Caenorhabditis elegans: one gene and its partners. The protein of the gene in region 1 interacts with the protein of each later gene in a pairwise test. Each region holds a gene or a part of one and is shown in the gene's direction. Other genes may lie near its edges.

The links.
Region 2: the proteins of zoo-1 (region 1) and abu-15 interact in a two-hybrid assay, tested with the Caenorhabditis elegans proteins (one large-scale study listed by BioGRID).
Region 3: the proteins of zoo-1 (region 1) and C27F2.4 interact in a two-hybrid assay, tested with the Caenorhabditis elegans proteins (one large-scale study listed by BioGRID).

What each region holds. Positions count from the first base shown.
Region 1 is NC_003279.8:14,527,571-14,531,328, forward strand, and holds the start of zoo-1 (Tight junction protein ZO-1), read left to right. Parts: upstream 1-1,958; 5' UTR 1,959-1,961; coding exon 1,962-2,057; intron 2,058-3,361; exon of another isoform or gene 3,362-3,410; intron 3,411-3,758.
Region 2 is NC_003283.11:5,156,595-5,160,352, forward strand, and holds abu-15 (Activated in Blocked Unfolded protein response), read left to right. Parts: upstream 1-2,007; 5' UTR 2,008-2,028; coding exon 2,029-2,253; intron 2,254-2,300; coding exon 2,301-3,242; 3' UTR 3,243-3,313; downstream 3,314-3,758. Other genes in the region: srx-39 (G-protein coupled receptors family 1 profile domain-containing protein), read right to left, coding at 59-164, 207-337, 380-591, 636-859, 925-1,085, 1,128-1,166.
Region 3 is NC_003281.10:4,958,571-4,962,328, reverse strand, and holds the start of C27F2.4 (Methyltransferase BUD23), read left to right. Parts: upstream 1-2,024; 5' UTR 2,025-2,032; coding exon 2,033-2,080; intron 2,081-2,254; coding exon 2,255-2,387; intron 2,388-2,683; coding exon 2,684-2,767; intron 2,768-2,811; coding exon 2,812-2,914; intron 2,915-2,960; coding exon 2,961-3,296; intron 3,297-3,400; coding exon 3,401-3,548; 3' UTR 3,549-3,758. Other genes in the region: C27F2.9 (JmjC domain-containing protein), read left to right, coding at 1-167, 221-374; vps-22 (Vacuolar-sorting protein SNF8), read left to right, coding at 615-677, 720-796, 845-951, 1,000-1,073, 1,124-1,230, 1,273-1,461, 1,525-1,717.

The sequences.
Region 1 (3,758 bases):
TAAACTAGAATTGTCTAATTTTGGAACACCACTACTAAACTTTTGATAATCCTCAAGTCTTAGCAATTGAAATTTTTTAGACTAATAGACTAGTATCTACGTTTCTATTACACATAGATACTAGTCTAGTTATGCATTTTTGAAAAGTTGATATACCAATGCACCATGTTCAATGATTGATTGGTCAGGTTTAAAAAAGTACTACGAACTGTAGTTTAAAGGTTCATGTTGTTTCCTCAGCTAGGCGTATTTGAAGCATATGTAGTTCAATGTATGTGTCTATTCAGAAAACGTACATGTCTTTTTCTAGTTAATTAACTGATTTAGTTGGTTGATCAATGCACCATGTCTAAAAACTGAATGGTTAGCTTCGTATCCCCCAATAATGTGTATAAGCCTCTAAACTACAACGGCAAGCTCAAAAATTACATTCTGCAAAAAAAAACTAATCAACTTTTTTCCAGTTTATGAGTTTTTGAGCTGAAGTGTTTTGTGCCAATCACCAAACAAGACTTGTCCATTTTTTGTTCTGAAATCGATGTTTTAGACTGTATTTCAAGCTTATATGATACACTGTCTTGGGAAAATAGGTTATTGAACCATCTGACTTTGGTTTGACAAAAGCATAAAAGTGACAAAGTCTAATACCTCACAGTTTTGAAACTTTCGTTCAAGACTGTAATAATTATTAATTAGAAATAGCTAACTAGAACCGATATACATAGGTACTTAATTCTATATATCTATATACCTATATAATTATATATATACCGAATTCTATAACACACCATGGAATTTTACCATATATTCCCTTTTTAGTACGTTTATATCTCGGTTGTCTTTGATCATATTTCAAAAATTCAAAATTCAAACGACACAATTTTTTTCAAATCTATCGTTATGCTTTGGTTTTTGAAGGTATCAAAAATATTTTTAAACCGTTGAAATATGAGCCGACAAAGTCGATTGACGGGGGGCCATACTAATAGGGAATGTACGGTATATATAATTTATGTACATATATGTATTATAACGTATGATAACATTCATACACTTCCTTTTTTTGACTAACTCAATTGCATGGAATTTGAATTTAAGACTACACACATTTTCCAAACAATTACTATTTTTCTTCTCTCATATCTCTAATTACTCCGATACTATTCAAAAATTCAATTCCCCATCCCCCCAGAAAACCCCAAAATTACTCCAAATTCCACGCATCCCAAATTCAATTTCCTTTACATGACCCCTTTTCCCCATTCTCCTACCCTTCTGCCTACCAATATGTCGTCAAATTCAATGTCTGCGTACCCGATATATGCGTATGTATTGAATGGAATAACACACCATTTGACGACATTTTCCCCGTTTAAACTAACAACTTTTCAAGGTTGTTTATTGGATTTTGCAGGGTTTTGTATGGGAAAAGTTCAGGATTTTCCTATAAAATCAATATTTCTTTGGAATTTATAATTGTTTAAGTACTGTGATAACTACTTAAATAGAACTTGTTTTATTTGAGTTTGTTAAAATTTAATTTGTTCATAATGTAACCGCTTTAAACGGGGCTTTTTTACTATTATTAAATTTAAAAGTTGACCTATTATAACTTTTTCTCAATAAGAAGTTTCAATTTTCATACTAATTACTACTTCTATACAGTTTTTTTCGATGTTACTTTAAAAAATTGAAAACTTGTCCTTATAAATTAGAATTTTCTGGTTATTCTTATTATTTCTGTTGAAATTGAACTTTAAAACGTTTTCAATTGTTCTTTGAGTTAAAATATTAATTTTTATAACAAAATTTAAAAAAAAAACCGCAGTCTTCAAAAAGCATAAGAAACAAACTGAACTTCATTGCTTTTTCCGCTTCTATTTGTATATACGATTAGCCTCTATTTACCCTGTGATTTTTGATTATTTTCTTTTTGTATATAACAACTTTTATATTCCAGAATGTCAGAGGACCCATCATGGTACAAGACCTCCATGTCAAGTACGTCTTCTTGTATTGAGGAGGAACATGAGCCTGTCGATCAGGATGAGGAAGAGGTTAGTATTTTTGTTTGTTTCTAAAAAAAAAATTAAAGCTTTATACCAAATTCTAACAATTTTTTTGTTGGATATAGCAATATAATGATGTTTTTCAAGTAGTGTCGGAAAATTAAAAAGTTTAGAAAATGAACGTTACCGCTGTAAGCATGTATTTTAATACTGTTGTGACGTCATAAATGTATTTAAATAAGGTAGCTGTTATACCGTCATCACGTACAATTTTAAGAATTTATTTGAGCTTTCACACTACAATATTTCGATACGTTTTCAAAATCAAAGCTATAACTAACTGTAACGCTATGTCCTTTGTTATACGTTACAACGTTTTATTACACACTATAATATAGATTTAGCCTGATTTCAAATGTTATAAATTATACGTTATCAACAAGATTAAAAGGTTAAGGTTATAGTATCATATATTAAAAAAACGTTAAAATTTTAATTGAACGATCATATTAAAACAACGTTTTTACATGTGTAACGAATTATAACGTTAGTTTTTAAAATAAAGGTTATAAAGTATCGTGTAATATTTTTAAAAAAAGTTAAAACGTAACGTTAAGTTAAGGCTATACATAGTATATTTTTCGTAATAAGGTATAACGTTTTAAAGGTGGGGATATTGTCTAAGTACACTTATTATGATCCAAAACGACCAAATATCATAATATAACACAATTTTAGATTTTTCATAATTTCCGGCCTAAGTTTTGGCATATTGCCAAAACTTTGAAAAATCAGAGCTTTTGAAAAAAAGTCCAAAGGTATGCCGCATGTTTCGACCCCTACAATGTTTTAATACGAATAATTAAAACAAGATTACAGAATTAAAAATGTAGAAAAACAATTTTTTTTTGGTCGACTTCCAAAATTATGAGTGGCAAAAACTCAGTAATTGTCACCACTTTTTGACAATAAATAAAAAATTTTCAAAAATTTTTTGAAAAGTTTTATTATGATATTAGATCATTTTGGGACTTTTGGTTTTTAACAACTTCCCCACTGGCACTACTCCACCTTTAAGATGTATGTTTTAACGGTATAACGTATAGGGTTAAAAGCAACTTTAAATTAAGGTTTTTACATAGTTGAACGATTTTGTCCATTTTTGTCGCGATGCTTGTTCCACTAGCAAAAACTGAACATGCTCACACTTTCTTTGAAAACCGCGAAAAATTAATGCCAAAAGATAGAAAACCATTCAAAACGCGTTTACTACCCCTGAAACAAAACGTCTAATAATATGAGAGTCAGGTCAAAAATAAAAGAGACACTTTTCTCATTCTCCTCCCATCCACTTTTTTCTCGTTTTTCAACATAGTGTAAATGAGAAATGTGTGTGTATGAAAAAGAAAAAGAGCCTCTTCTTCTTCTTCTTTCTTCTTCCACACAACTTCCCGAGGGACCCCCTTTTCCCAGTTTTAACCAGACATTGATATCATGCCCTTCTTAGAAGAGAGAGAGAGAGAGAAGACTCTTTTTGTTTCTATTCAACTCGTGTGTCGCTTATTTGACTTTTGATGTCTACTGGTAGCCTAGTTATGAGAAAAATTACAATAGATTTTAGAATTCTTAGGCTGTATGGGTACTGTAATTTATCACCTATAGGAAAAATTGATAGCATTACATATATGGTTTTAAATTACTCATAATTTGGGGTAGATCAAAAAAGAGAAACTTTTTAAATTGGTATCT
Region 2 (3,758 bases), on another chromosome or scaffold:
CCCTAGACAATGACAATTGGCTTGAGCATTACAATTCCACTAACAAAGACCTCTATTCTTAATCCAATGCAGCCGATTTCGATCTAACAACGTTGAATGCCAGTGGCTGGCCGCTTCTGGAACAGCTCCTTCGGATTTCTGGATTGAAAATCAATGTGAAAAACCTAAATTAGAACTTTTTGAGTATTTAGAATATTTACAATTACCCATCAAACATATGCACTGAAGACCAGAGAATAGAAGAGAAAATAAAGGTGTAATCAATGTCTGGAATAAAACGCGGACCCCAAGTAAAACTACAAACGATTGCAAGAACAAATAGAGTTTGGCTTATGGACTGAAATTATTATTTAAAACAATCTATAAAGATCAATATTACCTGTTTCAACAAGCTAAGTTCTTTTGAGTGCTTTTCTGTTTTTGAGCTAATTTTTAACACTTTTCCGATAGCTAAAAAGTCCAAAATAGTACTGGAAATAGTCAATGAAAAAACAAGATAAAAGTCTAAATAAGTTGCATAAAAACGACAAACGTCTCCTCCAGAATAACGAAATGCTCTTGTTTCTTGGTCATAAAAATTTTGACATCCCACTGCAACTCTCCCGTCAATTTTAGTTGACATTAAACTAACCTACAAATTTGAAAAAATAGTGTTATGATTGTAAGTGCGTAGGAATAAATTCCCATTACTATACAAAACGTGAACAAAACACTAAACATCATACGATAAAGCATTGGTTTATACACTGCTAGAATTCTGTTAAGGGATATCATGAAATGAAAAGTTGTTGAAGCACTGTAGCAAATCATAAGAACATATCCACAAACACTCGAATAATTTGATAAAATATCGCTCTCGCTGAATGGAATTTTTATTTTAACTGTTGGCCTCGCTGAATGAAAAAAAAAACTTGTTCAACTTACAAAAATACCATTGGAGTTGCATAGAATAAGTAGAGCGCGGAAAATGTTCCATCAGCAATCGCTAGACCAACAGTTAAAATTGCAAATGGTTTTTGCAACTTTGTAACTTTTATCATTATAATCACAATTGCCCAATTTATTGTAAATCCACAGAGGGAAAACTGAAGGTACATCAATTTGTTTGAGCTACAATAAAATCTTACCAAAAGCATAATTGCAGAGATTGTTGTCACGGAAATCATGATTGTAATTTGCAGCCAACAGGAAATGAAAAAGTTAATGTTATGAATGAGAGAGAAATATCTGGAAAAATTGAAACTTTCTTGTCAGGCTCGAGTCACCTGGGCCGGTGGCGTTCAGCTACAATACAAACATAGTTTCTTTCACATTTCGCATAGATACAATTTATTTTTAAAAAATCCGTTAGGCTATTAACTAAATGTTTTTATACCTAATTTTTTAAACTTTGAAATGTGTTTCAAAGTGAGTTCAAAACTAAAATTTCAAACTCTAGAGATCCCGGAAGCTAGGAAATCCCAGAAGCGAGGCAGCAACCACTGTAGCTCTATACAATCAAATCGAAAAAATGTTCGGGTCTGAAAACCAACTTATGTCATGCATGACAAATCATGTAAATTAAATTAGAGTCGAAATTTGTCGTTCTTACATGTCTACGTGTCTATGTGGTTCATTGATTCTTTTGATTTTCGATTAGCTAGAACGGTTCAAAAATTTAAACAAAATTAAAAGATAAATCTTATAAAAATAGATTGCTTATCGCTGTTTGCCCTTGAAAACTAGTTCTCATGTGCGAACCTTGCGTGAACAAGGTCATAGAGCAAACTCAAACAAGACCTCTCTTCTTTGCTTGCGCAATACTACAATTTATTCCTGTATTAGCTCGGAGTTTTTTAGTGACTCGATAGCTTACTTGAAGCTTTAGGCGAACGCTTTTGCGCGCGGCCGCAAGAGAGAGTCACATTTAGAAGAGGATCAGGAAATTAGGAACTGGAACCGGTTTACTGAGCAGCTGGAAAAGTCATATAAAAGAGAAGAACAGAGCTTCATTACCATCCGATTTCCTCGGTTCGAATCATTATTAAAATGCGCTTTACTTCACTTTCTATTGCGTTCCTTGCATGTGCCCTTGTGGTATCTGGAAGTGCAATCCGTGAAAAGAGACAGTGTGGATGTGCTCAGCCACAGCAGAGCCAATGCTCGTGCCAACAAGTTCAACAGACTCAGTCATGCTCGTGCCAATCTGCTCCAGTTCAACAACAATCCCCATCCTGCTCATGCGCTCAGCCACAACAAACTCAACAAGTTCAGGTACAGTTCATTAACATATTCGCAAACCATTAAATCAAAAATTTTAGGTTCAATCTACTCAATGCGCCCCAGCTTGCCAACAGAGCTGCCAACAGCAATGCCAGGCTTCTCCATCAGTGTCCCAGTGCCAGCCACAATGTCAGCAACAGTGCCAGGCTCAATGCACTCCAATGTACAACCCACCAACCACTACTACCACCACCCAAGCTCCAGTTGTCCAATACCAACAGTGCCAACCAGTATGCCAACAGCAATGTCAATCTACCTGTGTTCAACAACAACAACCAGCAGCTCAATGTCAGCCACAATGCCAACAACAATGCAATGTTGCCTGTGATTCCCCATCCACTACCACCCAGGCCCCACAAGTGATCCAAATCCAACTCGAGATCCAACAAGCTCAAGCTCAATGCCAACCACAGTGCCAGCAACAATGCCAATCTTCATGTGTCCAGCAACAGCAACAATCCAACCAGTGCGAGCCAGCTTGCAACACTCAATGCTCTGATATCTGCCAACAAACTGCTCAGGCTACCCAACAAGTCTACAACCAGAACATGAACCAGAACACCAACACTCAAATGTACAACCCATACAATACCAACACCAACCAGAACGCTAACTGCGCTCCAGCTTGCCAACCAGCCTGCGACAACTCCTGCACTTCCCAGCAGACTCAGCCAATGTACCAACCATACGACACCACCACTGAAGCTCCAGCTCAAGTCATCCAGATTGTTCTCCAGACTTCTGTTGCTCAATCATCCCAATGTGCCCCACAATGCGAACAATCCTGCCAACAGCAATGTGTTCAGCAACAACAGCCAGCTGCCCAGTGCCAAACTGCCTGCCAATCATCATGCTCTAACTCATGCCAAGCTGCTCAACCAGCAACTACTGCCTGCCAGCAGAGCCCACAACAGAGCTCCTGCTCTTGCCAAGCTAACTACTCTCCATGCGGAAATGGACAATGCTGCCGCAGAAAGTAATTTAATTGTTCCTGATTCTTGATTTTTGTATATACCGAAACAATTCAGTTTCAATAAACGCATAACTTTTTAAACCTTCTCGCTTTAAAAATCTGACGTGACATAAAAATAACCAGAATAAACCAGTTGTTTTCGAAACACAACATGTTTATTTAAAAACTGTTAGCGTCTCTTCTTCGACTACATTTTTAGAAAATCTCATAAACATTTGTTCAGTTGGCATTGATACAGGTTTACGTATGTTCTATCTATTTCTGTACTCATTGAAAAATGCTCTCATCAAAGAAATATTTATAGAAAAGTTAGATTTACAAGAATTTTCTAGCTCGCCAGCAGGAGTTTAGAAACTAGAGATTAAAAAAAAAAAGCTCACTGATGAAGTATTTTAAATTCAATTTAGTTTCAAATCGTTTAGGTTCACGACTTTACGTGTTTCACTACCACACTGTTCCTTCATTACGAAAAATGTAATACGACCTTAGAAGTTAAAATTTATTTTAGCTTACAATTAAAATT
Region 3 (3,758 bases), on another chromosome or scaffold:
GGTCACACTGCAGCACTCTCATTTGGTATTGCGGGTGCTGGAACTGGAGTACCATTTCATTTTCACGGACCTGGATTCGCTGAAGTGATTCATGGATCAAAACGGTGGTTCCTGTATCCATATGAGCAGAGACCGAACTGGAATCCGGATAAAACAACATTGGAATGGTTAGTTTTTTGTATTTTTATTTTATCTTTGGAGTTAACATTCCTTGTTACAGGTACACATATGACTATCCAAAATTGTCCCGCGACGAACTTCCATTGGAATGCGAAATGAAATCTGGAGAAGTAATCTATTTTCCCGATAAATGGTGGCATGCCACTTTAAACATTGAATCTTCTGTTTTTATTAGCACTTTTTTAAGTCCATAGACCTTATTATTGTTTTCAAAAATTGTATTTATAATAATTGTTAAGTTTCTTTTTTTGTTAAGTAATTTTATTTTCGAGTTCAATTTACTGGTACCTGACATTCTGAAATTCTGTGATTTAAGAATAGTTATTATTTTCAGAAAATTGTAATTTTTTAAAAATTAATTATTGGTTCTTTTGCCAACTACATTATTTCATTTTATGCATTTAGCATATTTTAAATTAGTTTTTCTTCCCAGGATGGCGACACGACGAAGAATTGGAGTGGCTGCAATTCAGAAAAAGCAGGAAACTGCCAATAAGGTCAGCTAACTGACTGAAAAACCCCAAATTCCTATTTTTCAGTTTGCCGCAAAGGGAGATCAAATGGCTGGAGAGCAACTGGTACAATTCTCGCAACAGTTAGAGCAACTTTCGGCTGGGTTGGTTTTTTTAATCGGACATTTAGTGTCAAACTGCAATTTTTACAGACTGGAAATGTTTGCGCAACGACATCGAGATGAAATCAAGAAGAACTCTCAATTTCGTCGTCATTTTCAAGAAATGTGTGCTAGTGTTGGAGTTGATCCGTTAGCATGTATATTTTCATCATTTTAACAGAGTATTTCAAATTAATTGTTTTCAGCGAGTAAAGGATTCTGGGCGAAAGCGCTTGGTTTCGGAGACTTTTATTACGAGCTGGGAATTCAAATTGTTGAGGTAAAAAATGTCTGATTATTATGTAGTGAAATAATTATTTTTATTCTCAGATTTGTCTTTCTACAACACACATAAATGGAGGCATCATGACAGTTGAAGAAATTCGTAATCGATTAATGAGAACACGATCAAGAACTCGTAAAGATACCATTTCAACGTAATAATATTTATGAAATCAATTAAAAATGTATGTTTTCAGAGATGATATTCTTCGTGCCGTAGATAAATTGAAAGTACTTGGAAACGGATTTGAATTGGTTCCTCTCGGTGGTGGTCGTTTTCTGGTTCAGTCGGTTCCAGGAGAATTGAGTATGGATCATTCAAGAGTTCTTCAACTTGCAGAAGATGCTGCTTACGTTACAAAGGAATTGATTATTGATAAATTGAGGTAGGTCTATTATCCAAAAGTTGTTAATTTTTTAGTTTGTTATTTAATTAGTTAATTTTTCAGATGGGACGAAGCCCGCGCAAGCTCTGCCTTGGAACATCTTGTGAAGGAAGGACTCGCATGGACAGATGAACAGGCATCCGATACAACACAATACTGGTTCCCTTCACTTTTCCTTCAACAATATTGTCATTCGTCATCAAGCACTTCAGTTTCCGAATCTTTACACAGCATGAGCTTTAACAATTATCAGTGATGATATTTTCCCATCAACGAATTTCAGACTTATGTACCTTATGATTTGTATTTTCCTCCAAAAACCCTGACTTGCCAGAAACTTTTGTTTTTGATGCTTTTAGTAGACTTCACTCGTCGATACTGTAGATGTAAATAGAATTTTTATTTATTTATTCAAGATTTCTATCCCATACGATCCAATAAATTGAATTTATGTTAAAGTAAACGTATTTTTCTTTTTATATCAATTGTCTTATAACAATTTCTTATATTTCTTAATAATAATTGTAAAAATAGAAAAAATATTAATTTGAACTTCTGATTTTCAGTCAAAATGGCTTCGTTCAAAGTGAAACCAGAGCACACTGGACCGCCGGATTTGGTTCGTTTTTCTCAAAAAATATACATTATAATGAGTATTCTCATCTTCTACCTTAAAATTGTCTCGGAAAATTTCAACATCGATAATTATTGATTTTTTTACTCTGGTTTATTTTGTTAATTGAATATAAAAAATTATTTACAGCAAAAACCATCTCTATTTTCAATTTTTCAGTACTACAATGAAACCGAAGCAGCAAAATATGCATCAAACTCCCACATCACTGCAATTCAACATGAAATGGCTGAAAGAGCACTAGAGCTATTGGCACTTCCAGAAGGGAAATCTGGATTTTTGCTAGATATTGGTAAGGAAAGTTTTCTTAAAGAGTACTGTAGTTTCCAACTCCGCGTTTTTTTCCGAAGTTTTCATTCGTTTCTTTTAAGTTTATTGCAAGAAAAATATAAAAACAGATCAAACTTTGAAGAAACTAAAAATTTTTTTTGACCTTTGCAAATTCCGCAATGACAAAGGTTTCACAACTACAGTACTCTTTAAAGGCGCACATTCATTCTGAATTTGGGGAAATTCGTCGGACCCTATTCTTGAAGCAAAAGTTGGCATCTGGATAATAACGCTTGATTTTCAACAAAAATTCTTCAGGTTGCGGTACCGGAATGAGTTCTGAAGTTATACTTGATGCTGGTCACATGTTTGTTGGCGTTGACGTTTCCAGACCAATGTTAGGTAAGATTACCTGGAAAAATGTAAATGTTTCGTCTCTTTTACAGAAATTGCTCGTCAAGATGAAGACCTTGAATCTGGAGATTTCATTCATCAAGATATGGGACTAGGAATGCCATTCAGGCCTGGAAGTTTTGATGGTGCAATTAGGTAATTTATTACAGTTTTCTATGTACCCAACCTTAAATATTTTCAGTATCTCAGCCATTCAATGGTTATGCCATGCAAATGCTTCAGATGAGAATCCACGTAAACGTCTTCTCTTCTTTTTTCAATCACTCTATGGATGCCTTGGGCGTGGATCACGAGCAGTTTTCCAATTCTACCCGGAAAACGATGAGCAATGCGATCTGATTATGGGTCAAGCTCATAAAGCAGGATTCAATGGAGGACTTGTTGTTGATTTTCCTGAAGCCGCCAAACGGAAGAAAGTTTATTTGGTTTTGATGACTGGAGGAGTGGTTCAACTTCCACAAGCATTGACTGAAGATGGAGAAGAAAGCAGAACACAGATTGATAATGCTGGAAGAAGGTGAGAATTCGGATTTATTTGAAAAATAACTAATGAATCTTGAATCTTGTATCTTGAACTCAAAAAATCAAAGCGTATTATAGATTTTTCATATATAATTTCAGATTTGTGTGGAACTCTCGTAAAAATGAGAAAGTCGCGAAAGGATCGAAAGCATGGATTGAGGCGAAACGTCAACGACAGATTAAGCAGGGACGCGACGTCAGACACGAGTCGAAGTATTCCGGAAGAAAGAGAAAGACCAAGTTCTAAATTTTTCAGTTATTACAAAAATTGTTCTTTTGTTATTCCATTTACTACTGTTTGAATTTTGTTGTTCTTGTTCTTTTTCAATTTTTCTTTGTTTTCTTCCTCATTTCATAGTAAAAATTTATTGATAAATGGATTTTTCCTAAGTACGTGGGGAGGATATCCAAGAAAATTGACCAAAAACTTCTCAAATGCTTGATTAGAATAGATTGA